Linked DNA regions of Notamacropus eugenii. The protein of the gene in region 2 interacts with the protein of the main gene of each other region in a pairwise test. Links are inferred from orthologs where the notes say so. Each region holds a gene or a part of one and is shown on either strand. Other genes may lie near its edges.

Region 1 (3,747 bases), on a different chromosome or scaffold from region 2:
TCTAAGACTAAGTTGCAGAGAAGATGCTGAGCTACCTTGGGGATACAAATGTAAAGAATGAAGTAATCAATGAATGCTTTCAAGGCATTTACATTCTAACATAATTTCATCTCCTATATAAATAAAATCACAGGTCCAATCCCTATCTTTATATTTATGTAGTACTCTGTCAATATGTTTAATCTGAGGTTATGGCAGAACTCCCCGGTGTATATGTCCAGCAAGAAGCTAGAGATGTAAGACTGCAGCTCAGAAAAATCCTCAGGTTGTAGGGACAGAGAATTGTCGCCTGTAGAGAAAGTAATAATTAAAGCCAATGGAACAGATAAATTCTCTAAAAGAGAAAGTATAGGGGAGAGTTTTCAGGCTGAATGAAATATAGATGAAGTAGTGGATAGAACACCAGGCTTAGAGTGAGAAGAAAGTTCAAATGTGACCTTAGACAGGAACTAGTGTGAGCCTGGGCAAGTCATTTAACCTGTTTCACTCAGTGTCCACATCTCTAAAATAGAGATAACAATAGCATCTCACAGGATTGTTGGGAAGATCAAATCAGATAGTACTCCTGAAGCATTCTGCAAAGCCTAAAGCGCTAAATAAATACTAGCTAGGATGATCATGATCATGATAACTCTTGTTAATAGGATCCTAAGTTTTGGATTGGAAAGAGCCTTAAAGTTTATCTAATCAAATCCCCTCATTTTTCAGATGTGGAAACTGAAGTCCAGAGAGTTAGGTAACTTGTCCAAAATCAAACAGGTAGCAAGCGGCGGAGCCAAATCCAACTTTCTCTCCGATGAAATGCTTGTTGAGCTATCTTCTGATTAACAGTTCAGTTTCCCAGCTACCTCAATACTACAAAAGAAATCACCAGAATAGTGTACATCAAGTTTTCAGTCATGTAAAAAATGTGTCAGCAAATTTAATAAAATGGTATCCTGGATCAAATCATCCCTCTGTTTGGACAATACAAGCAAGTTATCTCAAACACCAAACAACTCACGGTGAAATGAAGTTCTGGACCTACAGAACTGTGAAACCATATCTCAAACTGTGGCAACTCCACAAGCAGGCTGCATCTCCTGAGATAAGAGCTAAACATCCACTTTGCCCTATCCAACAACGATTATCACAACATGAATTAGGAGGCAGCCCCTGAAGACCGAAGAAGGTGGCTTCAGAACAAAATAAAAAATTACTTTTCACTGCAGGTAAATACTTAAAACTTAGAGAGATGCATGGTTGATAGCACTAAAGAAGTTTATTTAGAAGTTAGGAATGTTCATGGTACTCTACTGACCTGTAAACTGCATTGGGGCAGAGGCCATGCCGAATCTACACTCTATAAGTAACCTCTAGCACAGAACTATGCTTACAATAGTTGCCTAATAAATATTTATTGAACTGCTGAATCTATAAGGATGTGGCTGCTAAAAGAAAACTATCATTATACTCCAAAAAATATTTTTTGGCGTCATTGTCAGAGACAGAACAATGGCCTGATCTGATCAGGATGAGAACACTTGTTCTTAGACCTTTGTGTTGAGTTTGATAAGTAAGGTATATAAAATTTATTAAGATGGACTTAGGACAGTGTCATGGACAGCTGAGGGTAAACTTTTACTTAAAACTGTAATACTTGCATTGTCAATACACTATATTACATCTAGAATAGATAAGAAGAGGTCCCCTTTCTCTAGTTCTGAGGTGTTTTGTTCAAAATCCTCCCCAAATACGGTATCCGTTAAGGAAATGGGGATGTAGTTAATTTAAAACCACAGAGTCAAAGGGGCCTCACAAATAAGTCATCTGCTCAAAACCCAAAGCATTAAAAAGGGCACAGAGAGGAGGAAAGAAAAGCATAGGAATAAAGAAATGGGAGGGTCTCTTGGGTCAAAAAAAGGAATCTGCTCCAATTCCCCACCCCACATAGAAATGCTTTCTAAAACACCTCTTAACAGCCAAGCGGCCATCCAGTCTCCGTTTGAACAGCTACCTTAATAAGTTGGCCGCTTCGCCAGTCCTATATCCAACTACTTTTGGACAGCTCCAATTGTAAGGGCTGCAAAATTTCCACCACTGGTCCTGAAATTCCGACCTCTCTCCAGCAAAACCGATCGGTATCCTCCCCTCTAAGTGACAGCCTTCCAAGCGCTGGAAGGCCAGGCTTACAAGGGTGCCCTCTCCCCGAGCTGGTGAACGTCTGGTCACCCCCTTTTTATTCTTTGAACTCCCTCCAAGGAGTTGATCTGTCGTTACCCCGGGCGGCTCCAACAGAGAAATGACCCCATGGACAGCTCCAGATAAAGGAGGTCGGACAACAAACACTTTCACCGGACTTGCAGCATGAGCCCCCCTCCTCCCAACTCAGCCGCAAGCGACTCCCGCACGTACCCGGATACCAGGCTTGGCCCCCTTGAAAGTCGCGGGGTCCCCAGCTAGGAACCCCGAGCCCGGCAGGCTGCCCCAGCTCCTCCCCTCCCTTGCAGCCCCTCCGGGGCTCGTCAGGGAGCCGGAGGGAGGGGGCCGCCCCACTCTCCCGGCAGGGAGACGAGCCATCAGTCTCCCTCCGCAGCCAGGTCTCGGGGTGGACAGATCTCCAGGCGGCCCCGCCGGCGCCGGGGGCTCCGGGTCCCCCGGAGGGCCCCGCTGCCTGAGGCTGATCTCCGACTCCCAAGTCCCCGCAGCGAGCGCTCCCCAGACACCTCCCCGGAGCCCGGCCGGCTGAGGAGGGAGGGCCGCCCTGCGGGGGACGGGACGGGAACCACGGAAGTCGTTGGAGAACGTGGCCGCGTGCGGAAGGCGGCGGAGCGGCCCCCTCCCTCCACCCCCACCCCGGGCAGCCGCCGCGGGTCACTCACCGAGAGGACGCTCATGCGGATTGGGGTCTCCAGCAGACACGCCATCTTGATCCTTCCCACCGGGTTGGGGTAAGGCCGGGGATGGCTTCGGCACTTTCGACGGCGCCTTCCCTCCGCCGCTGCCAATACCTATCCCTGGTGGAGAGGCTGGCGAGGGAAAGGTGCGCGCTGCTTCAGGCGCGGCCGTGGCTCCGGGAAGGACTGTTAATAAGGAAAGGAAAAAGAAAGAGGAACGTTCTAACGAATCGGCTGTTGGGAAATAGGCATCAATCTTAGTTGAGGGGATTGAGACGGAGGGGAGGGGCGGTGTTCAGCAGTTGACGCATGCGCCTGGTGGGAATGGCTCCCGTGCCCACCCTCCACCTGGGCGGGGCAAGGTCTTTGCGCACTGAGTGAGGGCCCTCTAGAGGATGAGAGTTAATGAAGTGTTTTTCATGTTCTCTTAAGAGAAAACTTTTCTTGGGTTTGGAACTGTCAGGCACCTTGTCCAACCTTCTTATTTTATAAGTGACGAAATCGATGTTCACAGAGATTGAGACTGGTTCAAGGTCACACGGATAGTAACGTAAAATAGGGGTCCCGTCATGGGCTCCTTGAATCCCGCTCTGGACCCTTTCCTGTAGGTGTGTAGCCGTTGGAGCGCTTCTCAAAACCCTACAGAGGGGGAGACGGAGACAGGTGAAGTGACTGAGCCAAGGTCGCCTCGTTATTTTGGTATCTGACCCCTAAGACTAATGCCAGGTATTCAAAGTGAAGATGAACATTGAGATAATTATATAATTCAGAACAAGTTATATAATTCAGAAGAAAAAAAGTCAAACAAGTAAGGATTTAACCTTAGAATGGTATATGAAATACACTAAAACCCAAAGACTCCAGCTTCTGA
Region 2 (3,747 bases):
ATTTCTAAAAAAACTATCCATCAGATAATAAACAAACCCATCACATGTCCAGTCAGTGACAGCAGCAGGAGCAAAAACATCCTTATCTGTTACAGACTTTATATTTTTTTCATTAAAAAAACTGATAGAATGCCTATGTGGCAAAGTGATGTGGCTGAGACAAAGACTGATATGAACAGTCCTTACCCTCAAGGAGTTTACATATGGGAGGGAGGTAAGACAAGTACACAATTATTTTTAAAAAATGTCATGAGTAGTAAAGTACCCTGGCACTTCAGGGACTGCTTCCAATTCAAGTAAGAAGACTTCATGTAAATGTCAACAATTGAGTTGGATCTTGAAAGATAGGCAGAATTTCATCAGGCAGAAAGGGGAAAAAAAGGGCATTCTACATAGAGAGAATGGCTGTATCAAAAGCAAAAAAGGTACAAAGGGTGTAGTTCACACTTTGATAATGAGCTTTAAGGTTTACTAAAAATCTTCCGCAGAATAACCAGGTAAATCAGGTCTTCATTATTCCCATTTTAAAGTCGAGAAAAGTGAGTCTCACACCAAGACAAAGGAACTTGACATTATAAGGCTAAGGAGAGTCAGAACTTGAACCCAAAATCTTTCAAATACACCACACCTCACAACAGTGAATGACAAGGACTCCACATGAATGGTACAAGTGGATCATAAAAAGAAAAGGTTTAAAAGCAAGGAGTATGTCCTATTATGGAGAACTCTAGTGCCAGCCTGGAGGATTTTTCCTTCATTTTGTAGTGAATGAATAGACATTCAAAGTTTTTGAACAGTAAGTGATTTGATCAAGTTTGTTTTAGACTAGGTCAGAGGCAATAACCAGACTGTCTCCAAGGGTAAAGATGACATTTTATATTTCTTTTACATCCCCAATAGCATGTAGTCTAGTGCTGGACAGCACGGCATGGTGGATGGCACACTGGACTTTGAGATGGATGACCTAGGCTTTCACTGGGACTCAGACACAAGAAGGTAACTTTTCCTCTTTTCTCATCCGCAAAATGGGAAAAATTCACAGGATTGTGAAAAAAGCACTTTAGAAACCCTAAAGCAATAAACAAGTGTTATTATTATTACCGGCACGTAACAGGTGCTCAATATTTACTATTTGAATAACTTACATTTATATAATTTTTAATTTTCTTAAAGTGAGGCAAACCTGCATGGGTAGGTTTTTAAATCAGTACTTTTAATAAAAAGAAAAATGAAATCCCTATTCCTCTCCCCCACCCCCATCAAAACTGCTTCCCTATCAAGGAGCTCTAAGGATGTGATCATTTCTACCAAAGTTTCCAACTCATGTTATTTAGCTACAATCCAATGTGGGAAAAAAGTTACAACACGGTTTATGTCCCCATTTAGCTTAAGCAGGAAACTCATTTTTGCCTGAAAGATTACAAGCAAACTTTAGTTATCTAACTACAAAATTATTAATTATCCATTGGTTGCCTTCCGCACCAAGACTAAAATTGTTAAGAGTTAAATGCTGTCCTATTCATTAGCATAAAAAGTTGGGAGTACTTTGACAATCCAAGTTAAGAGTCCATTTTATTTACAAAGCTACGTAATTAAAAACCAACACGAATGGATCAGGTTCTCGAGTTTCGGAGAGCCAGAAGTCTTTTTTTAATGAATCACTTTCCCTGGTGAAATGGCCCAGGGAAGTGGAATCTGGGTTCCGCCACCGAGATTCCAGAGATTTCCGGGTGTGGGAAGGAGAAAGGAAAGAGAAACCACTGGAAAAACCCAAACAATCAAACTATTCGGAAAGTAATCCAATCAAGGCAAGCGGACCACCGCCCCGCCCAGGGGATAAAATGCGAATTATTCCAAAGGGAAGTGACTGGGCTGGACGCCCGCACCAGCGCCCCGCGCCCCCCCACCTCCGCCACCGCCGGGGGGAGGTTGGGGTGCGGGCAGAGCCGGGGTTAAGGAGGGTTCGGCGCGCCCGACAACTTAACAAAGTTAGTTCGGGAACCTCGAGAAACTTGGCCCGAGCGGGGGAGGCGCCGCGGAGCCCGCCCGCAGCCCTGGAAGGGAGTGCCCCACACTTGCCCACCAAAGTGCCCACCTGGGCTGACCCCGGCCCGGGCCCCGCTCCCCGCGCCCCCACCTCCCCGGGCCTCGCTCCCCTCCCCGGGGCGTGGCGGGGCAGGGGCGCCCCGCCGATAAGGCCCCCGCACTCCCCGGCCCGGGAGGGGCGCCGCCCCGCGAATCTCGCAAAGTTCAGGGGGAGCCGCGGGAGGGGCGCAGGCCGGGGCGGGGCGCCCCGGAGCTAATGGCGGGGTCCGTCGGAGGGCCCCAGGCCCGGAGCCCAGGGAGCGCCGGGAGTTACCTGCGGTGAGAGGGGTGCGAGCGCAGGAGGAAGAAGAGGAGGATCCCAAAGGCCCCTACGCCGAGCGCCGCCGCCGCCGCCGCCGCTTTGTCTCCCGTCCCGACTCCCGAGGAGGAAATGGGCCGTGGCCCGCGCCTCCGCCCCTCGGCCCCTCACCGGCCCCCCGCCCCGCTCCAGGCTCTTCCCGGCACCGCCCTCCGCGGCCGCTCCGCCTCGCCGCTCTTCCCGGCTCCTCCCCCGCGGCCGCTCCGGCCATTCCCGCCGCGCGCCCTCTCCCTGACTTTTCCCTGCAAGTAAGAGAACTGTACACATTTCTCGAGGAGAGGGGGGCGACTGGGTGGGGTATTGCTCTGAGACAAACTCCCCAAGCCCTGAACCGCTGTCCCAGGATGGAAAAGTCCCCTGGAGTGGGGAAGGCGTAAGGAAGAGATTAAAGGGGAAAGGGGAGGAGAAGAAAATCCCTGGAAGAGCTCAGAGAGGGGGATGGGGGCAGGGCAGGTGAGTCATCTGGCTCCGGGGCTCAGGTGAGTCTCAGGGTGGGGTTTTTAGGCAGGCTCCGCCCCTCAGCCTGAGACTTAGGAGCTCTGTGCCAGGTACTGAGCTGGATCTCAGATATCTTTCCTTTGCTGTAAGTGAGCTAGGCTATCCCAATTCAATTCAATTCAGGTTTATTAAGCGCCTAGCCTGTTCCAGGCATGGGAGGCATGTCTCCACGGGACCCCTGAGGCTTGTCCTGTTCCCAGAATTAATCCTTCAGAAAAGTCATACTGAGTTTTGAGGTAAGAGCTCACTTTTATTTTGCCCTCTAAATTAAGAAAAAAAAGCGTCCCTCGCAACATGGGGCAGGGCAGGGAGCGGCCAATCTTGATACACCCTAAAACTGATAGCAAATCTTAAACGTTAAGTACTAAATGATAAATTCTACCTCCTGCATTTCAGAATAACCAGCAAAATTGGTACTAGCCTGCAAAAATGCCGACATAACCGATGGTTGGGCAGGATCATCGTTTAGATTCGTTGAGAGTTTGGTGTGTCTACTACCAAGTGATATCAAAAGATTCCTTTGAAGAAAACTGTATTTCCCTTGGTATTTTGCATAAAGTCTTCCCAATTTAGGTTTTGTGAGAGGAGAGCTTAACCTACTCCATGCCCTAACATTAGGAGGTTAAGTATGAAGGGGCTTGTAAGTGGGAGTCCTGTCCTTTCTGTATTTGATCCACCACTTGAATGCAAGGTACCTCATTATGTAATGATGCACTACAACTCTGAATAAATGTTCTCAGAAGAAGGAAATTGACCTAAGAGTTAAAGTTAAACCTCTCTACATGCACCAACATATTTATGGCAGCAAAGAACTGGAAACAAAGTAGTTGCCTATCAGTTCAGGA

The links.
Region 1: the proteins of CTNNA1 (region 2) and ARMC8 interact in a two-hybrid assay, tested with the Homo sapiens proteins (2 studies listed by BioGRID and IntAct). The link is inferred for Notamacropus eugenii from reciprocal best matches to the Homo sapiens genes CTNNA1 and ARMC8.

Annotation. Positions count from the first base shown.
Region 1 is NC_092876.1:329,188,166-329,191,912, forward strand, and holds the start of ARMC8 (armadillo repeat-containing protein 8), read right to left. Parts: upstream 2,778-3,747; 5' UTR 2,560-2,777; coding exon 2,395-2,559; intron 1-2,394. UniProt on the Homo sapiens protein: Component of the CTLH E3 ubiquitin-protein ligase complex that selectively accepts ubiquitin from UBE2H and mediates ubiquitination and subsequent proteasomal degradation of the transcription factor HBP1.
Region 2 is NC_092872.1:366,019,489-366,023,235, reverse strand, and holds the start of CTNNA1 (catenin alpha-1), read right to left. Parts: upstream 2,559-3,747; 5' UTR 2,360-2,558; intron 1-2,359. UniProt on the Homo sapiens protein: Associates with the cytoplasmic domain of a variety of cadherins. The association of catenins to cadherins produces a complex which is linked to the actin filament network, and which seems to be of primary importance for cadherins cell-adhesion properties.